3 linked regions of the Danio rerio genome follow. The protein of the gene in region 3 binds, or shares a complex with, the protein of the main gene of each other region. Links are inferred from orthologs where the notes say so. Each region holds a gene or a part of one and is shown on either strand. Other genes may lie near its edges.

Evidence for each region.
Region 1: the proteins of nf2b (region 3) and lats1 are in contact, whole or in part, in a crystal structure (PDB 7LWH), measured with the Homo sapiens proteins. The link is inferred for Danio rerio from reciprocal best matches to the Homo sapiens genes NF2 and LATS1. Residues at the interface, in NP_000259.1 of Homo sapiens: Pro135, Glu136, Ala137, Val139, Leu140, Tyr144, Asn175, Leu176, Tyr177, Gln178, Met179, Met183, Trp184, Arg187, Trp191, Glu206, Ile210, Asp213, Leu214, Glu215; in NP_004681.1 of Homo sapiens: Pro69, Lys70, Phe71, Gly72, His74, Ala77, Leu78, Glu80, Ile81, Arg82, Ser84, Leu85, Phe88, Ala89, Asn90.
Region 2: the proteins of nf2b (region 3) and lats2 are in contact, whole or in part, in a crystal structure (PDB 4ZRI), measured with the Homo sapiens proteins. The link is inferred for Danio rerio from reciprocal best matches to the Homo sapiens genes NF2 and LATS2. Residues at the interface, in NP_000259.1 of Homo sapiens: Pro135, Glu136, Ala137, Val139, Leu140, Tyr144, Asn175, Leu176, Tyr177, Gln178, Met179, Trp184, Arg187, Trp191, Glu206, Lys209, Ile210; in NP_055387.2 of Homo sapiens: Tyr73, Ala76, Leu77, Glu79, Ile80, Arg81, Ser83, Leu84, Leu85, Phe87, Ala88, Asn89.

The regions. Positions count from the first base shown.
Region 1 is NC_133195.1:1,290,063-1,293,680, reverse strand, and holds part of lats1 (serine/threonine-protein kinase LATS1), read left to right. Parts: intron 1-1,755; coding exon 1,756-1,938; intron 1,939-2,150; coding exon 2,151-2,257; intron 2,258-3,618. UniProt on the Homo sapiens protein: Negative regulator of YAP1 in the Hippo signaling pathway that plays a pivotal role in organ size control and tumor suppression by restricting proliferation and promoting apoptosis.
Region 2 is NC_133184.1:22,891,846-22,896,221, forward strand, and holds the start of lats2 (serine/threonine-protein kinase LATS2), read left to right. Parts: upstream 1-1,459; 5' UTR 1,460-1,627; intron 1,628-4,376. UniProt on the Homo sapiens protein: Negative regulator of YAP1 in the Hippo signaling pathway that plays a pivotal role in organ size control and tumor suppression by restricting proliferation and promoting apoptosis.
Region 3 is NC_133196.1:27,247,507-27,251,894, forward strand, and holds the start of nf2b (NF2, moesin-ezrin-radixin like (MERLIN) tumor suppressor b), read left to right. Parts: upstream 1-1,538; 5' UTR 1,539-1,770; exon of another isoform or gene 1,771-2,150; intron 2,151-2,383; 5' UTR 2,384-2,400; coding exon 2,401-2,490; intron 2,491-2,581; coding exon 2,582-2,707; intron 2,708-4,388. UniProt on the Homo sapiens protein: Probable regulator of the Hippo/SWH (Sav/Wts/Hpo) signaling pathway, a signaling pathway that plays a pivotal role in tumor suppression by restricting proliferation and promoting apoptosis.

The sequences.
Region 1 (3,618 bases), on a different chromosome or scaffold from region 3:
ACAAACAAACTGAATAAACAAAGAGCACTGGTCGCTCACTTACCAAATCTGTAGAGACAGGACAATCACCAGCAACTAGAGCCGCGCCTTTATTAAGAGGAGACGAGCAGCGAATCTGGATCTCAGCGTTTGCAGATGAGAACAGCTCTCAGGTAAACAATAATCCTCCTTAGACACGTAAGTTATTGTTGTCGAGCGTCGCATACACTGTTAATCCACACGTGACTCCAGCTGCGCTCTCACAGAGAGAAAATGAAAACAAAACTTCACTGCAGCAAACTATAAAAGCAACACTTCACGCTTGTTTTGCCAACACAACGTGGCGTCTCTGTCGTCTAAACACTGTGACAGTAATGAATATTAATGAAGTTGCACAATAGAGCGCGCTGATTGGTTTGAACCAAGCTTTACTCATGCATTAATGCAGCACACTGTAAGACGTAATAAGACTCACTCTGGCACAGACGTCCAGTCTGCACGCTGGAATACACGCTATTATGTCATGACCGTGACGCAGCTTCAAAAATTCGTTTCAAACCGGAAATACGAATTTGCTTGAAATAACGCAAAACAACCAATTTACACTTTTTAGTGAAATATAGGTGTCCTAATAGTGTTTTTAGCAGTGTGGGACACATATACCACTGTCAACAGCTCAACACATGTGTTTTGGTGTTTCGTGACCCTTAAACATTTTTAAAATTTCAGTACCGTTTGGTACCGAACTTGATACTTTTGACAACACTACTACAAACATGCTAATTCATGCTAGAAACTTGGTAGCAATGTTAATTCACTACAAATATCTTGATTTCTCTCGCGCTTTTACAATGTAGATTGTGTCAAAGCAGCTGAACACAGATGTTCTCGTAAACTGAAGCTGTGTCAGTCCAGTTATCAGAGTTCAGTTCAGTGTGGTTTAATGTTCACTGCTGAAAGCCTAAACACTGAAGAGCAAATCCATCCATGCGCAGCTCCACAAGTCCCAAACCAAGCAAGCCAGTGGCGACAACATACCATGGAATTTTGCGACTGACCAATCAGAACCCAGTATTTCAGACAGCCGTATAATTGTAAAGGAATGATCTATATTTCTGTTTTTGTTCATGTCTGTCGACAGAGATCAGCTACAGGTGTGTGCTGCATCTCTATTAATAATGCTTCCCTATGATATTCATTTAATCATTTAAAACTAAATAAAAAAATGTTTCCCAGTTATGGGTTGCAGCTAGAAGGGCATCCACTGCGTAAAACAAATGCTGGATAAGTTGGCGGTTCATTCCGCTGTGGCGACCCCCAGTTTAATAAAGGGACTAAGCTGAAAATGAATGAATGAAAAAATGTTTAAAAAGAAAGTAAACAAACTTCTCAGACTGTCATCTGTGTGCTTTCTGTTATTGCTGCTTATGCGGTCATATAGCCCAGAACACGTGCACACTCACTTGCATTTTTAATTTTAGGAGGAGTTAAATTTACATATGTGGTGTCAACAAGCAAAATACACCAGAATAAATTGTACATTTAGTTATTAATGATTATACCTCATATGATCATTTAAAATCATTCATGTCAATATTTAAGGTAAACATATTTACTTAGTGTTTATTTACAGCTGTGCACATTCTCCTGTCATTTTATTTTTATAGATCACAACCTTTGCGTGTTGTATGCACATTTCCACCCCGGTTTGTAAATAAGAGCTCGGGTGTAAAAAACAGGTCTGGATGTTGACTTGCGGTGTGTGTGTGTCGTCAGGTGATCATGTGCGTCAGGACAGCATGGACTTCAGTATGGAGTGGGAAGATTCCGCAAACTGCCGCTGCGGGGATCGCCTGAAGCCCCTGGAGCGCAGAGCGGCTAGACAACACCAGCGCTGCCTGGCACACTCTCTAGTGGGAACGCCCAATTACATCGCACCCGAGGTTCTGCTGCGCACCGGTATGAGCCGCACATTACAGCCGAACACTCAGTTATTCGCCCTCCTGTGAAATTTAGACCCTTTTTCAAATATTTCCCAAGAGATGTCTAGCAGAGCAAGGACATTTTTCACACTATCTCCTGTTATGATTTAGGGTAGAGAAAGAATTAGAAAAAGTTGTATTACTTTAGAACATGGTTTGTTTTGCTTGATAAATTGTTTTGAATCCTAGGCTACACGCAGCTGTGTGATTGGTGGAGTGTTGGCGTTATCCTCTATGAGATGGTCGTCGGTCAGCCTCCGTTTCTGGCCACAACTCCTCTGGAGACGCAGATGAAGGTGAGTTCTCCTGATGAGTTCAACTCCAATCTTAATTAAACACAGATAAACAAACAAAATCAACGAATGCGCAAGTAAATCCCAATGAAGCCCCCGTATAGATTTGTACTCTGATTTGAACACATCATGGCATTTCGAAATGGAGGTTTTTATTATTAAGGGAAAACTACTTAGCCCGGAGTGAAAAGTGTTTGAATGGTTTTGGAGTGGTCTGGTCAAAGTCCTGACCTGAATCAAATTGAGATGCGTGACCTTAGAAAGGTGGTTCCTCCTTAGCACTGTGACAGACTCATAGCAGGTGATCAAAACGCTTGATTGAGGGTTACAAAGTTTCACTCAGGGCTCTGTAGAATAGTATTTTGGTTTTCCCTTAATAGTAAAAATCTTTATTTTAAACTGCATGACGTGTTCAAATCTGGCAGTCAGTTATAGGCATGGGCCGGTGTAAGAATCTGATGGTATGATAACCTTGGATAAAAACATCACGATGTCACAGTATTGTGATTTCTGCTCTAATATATACTCTTTTTAAATGTCTGAGTAAAAACAGGGTTTTTGCAGGTTTCATCACATCAAATTTAAGACTTTTAAAGACCTTTTTAAGACCATTATCAATGAAATTTCAGACTATCACTGGGCAAAACACTAATACTTTTCTGTTATAATCAGTGGAATTTTTTTACTTGCCCAATTAAAATTAAAATTCAGTTATTTATTTAAATAATTTGTCAAACTCTCTATATATTTTTATTAGTACAACAATTCTTTTAAAAAAGACAAGTTTTAAAAGCTAGAATAAACAAAATTTATGCACAAAATAAATTTATTTTTTTTAAATGTAATTTTGTTTTCTAATGTTCAATAAATTTTCAGAATTCTCTAAATCAAGATTAATATTTATTTAGAGGGTAACTACACCTTTAACTTCTAGATTATTTTAATCTAGAATAATCTATATATAAAAACAGTATTTTTTGGTGTCATTTATTTATCTGAGACTCACATTGAGATACTAATCTACAAGTCTTCTGAAAATCAAAGCAAAACAAAATACTTTTCACAAATGCAATGTAGCATGAACAAAAAATATTATAGCAGTGAGAAATATCAAAAATATTAAATTAAAGACAATCAAAATGCCTCAGTTTTAAAGCTATAATAAACAACATTTATAAATGTGTGCATTAAAGCATGAAAACACGGAGAACTTGTAAACAAATCGTAAGGATGTAATGAAGACAATTAAACCATATTGCTAAATAGTTAATTTTAACTTTGTTAAACATTTTTTAGATGGATTTGTTGGTTGTACTAATAAGCTTTACATGGACAATTAGTGAAAATTATGACCTGTTTAAAAG
Region 2 (4,376 bases), on a different chromosome or scaffold from region 3:
GCCGTGCGGTATCAAACATTGCATGAAAAATACACGCTTAGAGCAGATCCTCGAATCAAATATCACGTTTGTCGCGAGGGGCATGAATGAATTCCCTGAATGAAAGAGCCAAACTGCAGTTAAAGTCCAACATTTAATAATTTGTCAAATAATTCGACTACAGATGTCTATGTAGGTTAAACACCATCACTTTCTCATGTGTGTGTATTTTGACTGAAACTCGCGCGTGCCCAAATAGACACTCCCACACCATCCCACTTTAGTTCCTCCGACACTCCCCCATCCCACTTTAGTTCCTCCGACACTCCCCCCTAAACAGAGCTGGACACGCCCACTTTTCTGACTTTTTCCAAAGTAGAGGTGTGAAAACACCCTGCTGAAACGAGGGGGTTTCATGGCCCTTTAAACTGTATTGACAGGAGCAGAAATTAATGAATTTAGATTCAAACTGAAGCATCAGAAAAATATGCAATAGGCTACCTTAAAAAGTGTGACTTCTACACAGTTTTGCAACCTTAGAAGGCTCCATAGACTATTAAAATACAATGGTCTATTGTTGCCGAAACTTGAGCATTTTAGTGACTTTTCCACATGCAACATTATATATTGTAGACAGACTGTTAATGACAATACTAACAAACTACAGTGGCACTGCCAGTATTATGAAGACATAGTATCACGATACTACCATAGTACCGATAAACCTTACAACCCTACTTTTCATTTGTGTATTAGTAGAGTGTCTAATATGTGCCGATACAGTTCCTTTAACAGACATTTCACTGACTATAAGAAATTTTCAAGTATGTCAACCTACCCTAACCCCAACCTATCAGTCTACATAATCTGTTGAGAATTAGTTGGCATGTATATGCAATGTAACTTCAATTCAACAAACTGCATTAAAGAGACCATCGAAATAAAGTGATACCGGTTCAAAATACATTTTACAAGGTAAATAAGAACAGATGAAAGTGTTATTTTATTCATTTACAACATGAAATGGCATGTGTCAACTACAAATCTCCTGTTTTACAATCTAAGGTCTTTGGTCTCTTAATTATATGTAATATTTCATTTCTTTGAGGACTTGAAACAAACCAGTGATTGATTGAAGAAAGCAATGCAGCAATCAGTTGAGTGAGAAGCCCAAGAAGGATCTGGGAACTATTTAGTTCACTAATTAGTTATTTCATTCACTATTTAGTTATAACATTAATTATTTGGCTATAACGGTAATACCTATGCGAGCAACTTAAAATAGACCAGCAAAGTAGGGGAATAGTGAAATATTCTCCTGCCATTGCACATATCTGCTTGTGTGCATCAGATCAGAATCTCAGCGTTGTAAATGTCGGAAGCCCCGCCCAGGGTATGTGCAGCGCTGACGTGCATGGCCGCCTCACGTGACTCCTCTGGAATGTTAACAATGCAGTAAGTGTCCAACTTTGTACTGCATTCTAATTCCGCCGTGAGTGGCGAGAAAATGGAGGACAATCCCATGATTTTTACTCCGTGCTTTTTATGAGAGGACGAAGAAAGGCCAACAAATCTTTAGACAGATAGTCCGCAACTTTACTGAAGTTTAAATCAGTTCCTTGGATTAAGGCACCGCTTATTTCACATGGTGAGTCGCTCAAAACTTTATAAACTTTTCAAAAAGCTGGGCATTAGTTGGTTTCAGGGGATTCTGCATTTGATTTGCGCTCGTAAATGCCGTGTAAGTTGAGTAAATAGGCCGTGTTTCTCATTTAAAGTGGGATAGGAGTGAACAGCACATTCTCCCTGCGCTGGAATGCGGATTTGCTCCAGCGGATCTGCGTTCCTCTCGCTCCAGTCCCTCTGAAGCGCTGGGACCGTCCTCTAGGCCCCGCGACTGTAAACCGTATTAACGGTACTTTGTGCTTATAGAAGCATTTTGAATACCCCATGTTTGCTCCTTTAAAGAGGATAATAAGCGATTATGTATGTTAAAAACACCTTTGTGTGGCGTAATATGTGGCTTTGTTATATGTTAAACAAAATGTCAAGGTAACAAATGTGTAACTAGCGTTTATAATACAACGTATGTCTACATTCATTTAGAGGTTTGTTTTTGGTGATGAAGTAGACGCTGCCACGAGCTGCAGGTAAGTTAACGTAAAGTTGTATTTTTACTCGTGCGTAACAAAACCAGCTCTGCTTCCCACAGGGTTTTGTTTATGTGTCTCGCGCCGTCAGATGTTTTCCCCAAATCAGATGTTTTTTAGCCGTACTGTAAGTTTAGATGATGATGTACTACAGCGGGGCGATCGCATTACACGTTTATTGTTTTGAAACTGTGTAATTCACTCCACCCACGAAATGATCCCCCTATTTTCATGTTGGACATGTGTGATGATGATGATGATGATGACATGTGTTGGGAACTGTTTTCATATTTAATCCTGTTGTTTTTGTGTGTTGTCTGAATTTTTGGGCTTGTGATGATTACAGAGTAGTGATTATAAGTTAATGTAGAGGGGAGCCAGAATATTCATGTCATTATGATACTGTGCTCTTGAAATGTGGATTCCTACTTTCTACTTTGCTGGGAAGATATTGTGACAAATATCAGCAATATGAAAAATATTCAAAAAAATGTTTTTTATTTAACTCTTTATTTGCCAGTGCCATTGCCAGCATAACTTGCATTATTTTCAGTGCCAGCATATAATAAATGAAAGACTATTGCAATAAATGATATGTGGAGGATTGTTTGGCTTGCTCTTTCTATAAGTAATAATTAAACACAATTTACAATTTAACATTTTAATTATTTGAAAGTTAATGCAGCTCTAAATAAAAATCAGTACATCGTCACTTTGGAATTTTAAGGTTCTATCTGCTTCTGAATGATTTTGAGATATTGAGCTTCAAAGTTTTTGCATTCAATAGCAAACAGTATGTGTGTAACATTTGTTTTTTAAATAAAATGTCTTAAAATGTAAACAACTTATAAAAAACATCCCATAATGTAAATAAGTTGTCATTTAATAAGAATATGTCAATAACTCAATTTTGACAAAAAATGCCAGAGTGAACCTTCTAACACTAAGAAGACGATATGTTGAGCATAAAAGGTCTTTAAAGTTTGTTTTGAATATCGATAAATTTCAGTGGAATTCATAGAAGTAGAAAATTAGCAGTGCATGTTTTTTAAAATACTTTTCCATACTACATTTATCTTCAGTTCTGAGTTTATATTTTATGTTACAAATGACTTTTTTTAATTTCTTTGTGCAAGATATACATTTGCAGTTATTATCACTAATAACAATAGTTTATATTACTTTTATTCTATGGTGGAATGCATGCCATGCATACACTCACTGCCATTTGTTAATAAATAATGTACAGAAAATGATCCGTTAGGCAGTTTGTATGGAAATGAATATGAACTTATTTAATTTTTGTTTTCTTAAGGATGAATTTCTCGAGATTGTCTCTGATCTTCTATAAGTGTTTGAATGAATGCTCTGCACCTTGGGTTGTACTTGCAAATTGAATTGATAAATGTAAAAAACTGTGTAAAAATCTTTGATTATATCAAGCATAAAGTGAAGACATGACTAAACATTTCATGATGCCTCCGGTTTTACATTCAAGGTATTTTCTATTGAAGCTTACATTTGAATGTAATATTGAAGAGCTTCAATGGCTCAGTGGTTAGCACTGTCGCCTCACAGCAAAAGAGTCACTGGTTTAGGTCCCGGCTGGGTCAGTTGACATTTGTGTGTGGAGTTTGCATGTTCTCCCAGTGTTTGCGTGGGTTTCTTGTGTTTCTTGTTTCAAATACATGCACTATAGGTGAATTGAATAAACTAAATTGGCCGTACTGTATGATTGTGAATAAGTGTATATGGGTGTTTCCCATTACTGGGTTGCAGCTGGAAGGGCATCTGCTGTGTAAAACATATGCAGGAAAAGTAGGCTTTTCATTCCGATGTGGCGATCCCTGATGAATTAAGGGATTAAGCGAAGGAAAATTAATATAAATGAATATCAAAGAGCTTAAAGTCAAAGTTATAAAACCTTGATCTGTGTTTTAGCTTTTCCCATAAAAAGAATGTTTTCAGCAAGAAAACGGCTTTTCACAGATACTGTTTAAAGATAAAATCTTATTTTATGTTTATGAAATAAAGTAAACCTTCAGTAATATGACATATATACATATATTAAATGATTTATTCCTGATTATCAAGTGTTTTTTTTGTTGTTGTCTCGTCATCTTTAAGAAATCATTTAAGAAAAATTCTAGTATGCTATTTTAGTGTTTAAGAAACATTTCCTATTTTATTATTTAATTTATGTTAGGAGTGTTTTTAGAGAAAACGCTTTTTTCTTTTTTTAGTTTA
Region 3 (4,388 bases):
ACACCTCTTGTTTCAGTTATGAAAAAGTTTTAGGACAAGCAGGAACTGTTTATGGACTAATGGTATTGTCATATTGAAATGGTCTATCTATAGGACAATATCTTACAGATAATTTTAGAAGCATTTTACAGACATTTTATTATAATATGTAGTTATGTGCAGATACTATACAGCAATGGTCTCTGCACAGTTTTGCTCCAACCCTAATCAAACACCGCTGATCCTACTAACCAAGGTGTTCAAGACTACTAGAAACTAAGCAGGTGTGAGTTGGAGGTGGTTGGGACTATGCAGAGCTGCGGCCCTCCAGGAATTGAGTTTGAGACCATTGCTATGCAGTACATGACATTTCATCGAGTGGAATAAATTGGCACTGCACTCAACCAAAATATTTTAAAAGAGTATTTAAAAAAAAAGTAGTTTTATTTAGCATTAGAGTAAATTATATATTCATACATACAGTTGAAGTCAGAATTATTAGCCCTCCTTTGATTTTTTATATTTTCCAAATGAAGTTAACAGAGCAAGGAAATTTTCACAGTATGTTTGATATTTTTTCTTCTGGAGAAAGTCTTATTTGCTTTATTTTGGCTATGTGTGTGTGTGTGTGTGTGTGTGTGTGTGTAAATAAATCATGATTTACTCTAAAACTAAATAAAACTTTTTATAACTAAGCAATAATTTACCAAGTGTCTTATCTGAAAATATAATAAATAAATAAATAAATAAATATTTTGGAAGTTGCTGTTTAAAAGTTGGAAATTTATTATTAAAAAAAGCATAAACTCCCTTATTGGTACAAAATATAAAACAAAATACAGATTTACAGATTTTTTTTTACAGATAATACAAAATACAGTACAGTCATTTCACTAAAATAAAAACTTTTTACAATTTTACACTCATTTTACAAACCACTCTAATAATATCAAAGGGCTAAAATAGTAACTGTTATAGATCATTTCAATGTGGTCATATCATTGGCCCGTGAACAGTTCCTGCTTGTTATCAAATTATATCAGAAATGTAAAGAGGCAATTCAATCATAACTTAATATTAAAACAGCTATCATAACATTATTTATTCATATGTGGCTCTTTTTGGATTCTCCGAAGCTATAGAAATTAAAAATGCAAAACAGGAAATGCAAAGGGCACATTGTTTTTGTTTACATCCTTCAAAATGGTCTGTACATACAATACTTGCAACAGAATGATATTACATAATAGACCAATAAAATAAACTAAATCACAACAACTTCAGAGGGCTAAATTAGCAGTAATTGTGTTGTGTAGTTGACTGTACAATACTTGATATAAAACAGCATGATATTACAAAACAAACCAATATAATAAATTAAACAAAATAAAACATTTAACACTTACATAATAAATGACGTTAATTGATCTTATTGAGCATAGAAAGAGTGACATAAATCACTGTATACACACCGTCATGAACATTCCTCAACTGCTCTTCTCCATCCAGCAGGAAGAGGGCGGCAAAGAAAACCAACAACAAAGTCCTGCTAACTCCCTATCCAACATTTTCTACTCAAGATAACATCGTATTTATATTCCACAATCGTCCAGTTAATAGTTTATTACCAAAATGGACACTCTTTAAACGATTTCTACAGTTTCGGACAAGCTTACAACCATTTCCATGTAGGTGACCGACGAAATCCGGTTTGCATTGTTGTGGTTTAGCGGAGTGCCTGGAAACTCCTTGCTGTGGATCGGGCCTGGTTTAACACATAACCTAATCAAGGTAACTGACTGATATTTGGCTAGTTTCATTCACATATTTTTAACAGTGTTCAGAATGGATTATACTTATCGTTTAAACGTATACTGTGTCGCTGTAAAGGGAGTAAATTTGCCAGCTTACTTTCTGTCACGTTAGCCAGGATGTAACGTTAACGTTAAGCTTTGTGAGTCGCTTTCTACATTCTCGCTCGATATAACAAGGCAGATTGTGTTATATCTTACTTATAAAGGTTGAAAACTAACAATGTGTTTATTTTAAGGAGAGTGGGCATTGTTACAGTTGTTAAGTTACAGCACTTTGCGTAAAGTACTCGTGAATGCGACTTACCTGTGGCTGACTTCATTCATCTGCCTTGTGATAGTAGCACTAGTACGTTAGATAAATGATGATAATAATGATGCATAATAAGGGAAGGAATAAGTTGAAGTAATTTTCTAATTAAAGCTCTGATAGACTTTTTAAAATGTCTAAATTATCTTTTTATGTATGTATTGATGCACTTTGTTTTAGTTTTTAGATATATATTTAAGTAAATGAATGTTAGCTTCATTTTGTTAAATGCTAAATATACTTTACTATATTGAGGTATTAAAGTAATTATTTGTGTTTTCAGGTGTATATAAAGTCACTATGTCAATTTTGGGTCTGAAAAAGAAGCAACCAAAGACTTTTAAAGTCAAAGTCAGCACTATGGATGCTGAAATGGAGTTTAGTTGTGAGGTAAACGTATGGAAATACTTAATACATGTGTCTGTCTGATTCTGTGTCCTAAAATGTCCTACAAAGTTTAATGTTTGTCTATAACTTCTAGGTCAAATGGAAAGGGAAAGATTTATTTGACCTGGTATGCCGGACCATTGGCCTGAGGGAAACGTGGTTTTTTGGTCTTCGATACACAGTAAAAGACACATATGCCTGGCTGAAGCCTGATAAACGGGTGAGATGTAATTGTAGTTTAGAGCCTAAAATCTGTTCCCAAATCACTACTCACTGAACCCAATCTACAGAAATGAAAGAAGGAAATCTTGACCCAAGACAAAGTCAATCAAATTAGACCTGAGTCTGACCCAATGGCATTTATTTTTAACCCAAAAGTAAACTGCATTGAAGTAGGGCTGCACAATATATTGTTTCAGCGTTTATATCTCTATGTGTGTGTCTGCAATAGTCACATCGCAGGATCTGCAATGTTGAGTTGTTATTATAGTTGATCAGCACAACAGTTGAGAATAAATGAGATTTGTGGAGTCTTTGCAAAGTATAAGCATAACAGAGTGAAAGTTTATAATTTGAATGTGTTTCTTAAGGCAATGTCATAAGAGTTTAAAACGTTTTGGCACAAAAAGTTAATTTGTGACTTTAAAGAATAATACTTTAACTGAATTATTTATACAATAAAGACTATACAATGTTATTTTGATTTTATTATTCAATTTCTGTAACTGAATAGTTTTGACTCCAGAAAACCAGTTATTCCTGGGCCCAGCTTTTAACTGTGACCAGTGGCTTCTACACACACACACACACACACACACACACACGCACGCACACACACACACACAAACACATTGTTTTAACACACTGCATAATAAAGCAAATGGCGTTTCCTGGTTTTTATCTTTTTTCAATGAGGATATATTTCTTTGTTTGAGGTTTCAAATGCTTCTTCCATTTTTTTATAAGTTTCTTAAAAATTTAATACCAGTAGTCTAATTGGTCAAGTACATGCTGATTGCTGAAATTCTTAAAGCTCATTTACTTATCACTCAGTTATGATGATCACATCCTATAAGTTTTCATGTCTTTTTGGTAGTACCAGCGAGAATGTTCAGACATTGTTTGCTATTTCTACGCAGCATTTTGTAATGAAAAATTAGCAGATTTATGTGAAATAATTTTGGTAGTATCGTAACTAAAAACTTAATATTAAAACTTAAAAATAAAACTTTAAATATTACCATTTTAACTTTTATTTAACGTTTACAGTGCAAATGTAATTAGATCCACTTATTTGGTAAGCAAAGCAACTCTGATAACTGATCTACTAAAAGACAATTATTACTTTACAAATTAAATAGTTAAAAATCATATAAAAATTTTCATATTAGTCAATAATATTACTGAAATTAATTTAAAAACTGAATGAATATAAATTTACACACATTTACAGAAGTAAATAAATAGGCTTGATGGATTTTTGCACGCGCAGTTTCCGCATGGGCCTTCTTATTGGGTGCATTTTCAAAAGCACACTAAATGTTAAATTAACCGAGACCTGAGGCTACTAACTTACTAACCTAACCTGTGTCCAAGGCACAAAACCCATCTGGGTTCTTCGTTCAGACCATGGGTTTTTAGATTTATGTGACCCATGAAGACATTAAGCATGAACAAGTACCCAAAATACAAATATGTTGTTAAAGTTCTCCCCATTTTAGGTTATCCACAATGTAGCTGACTTTTTAAGTGCAGTGTAACATTGAATACAATTTAATTTCTGCTCAAACTGCTTCTTGGTGTTAATTATAACACAAATAATTAGTTACAAAATAGATTAGATTAGATTCAGCTTTATTGTCATAACAAATTTACAAGTACAAGGTAACAAAATTCAGTTT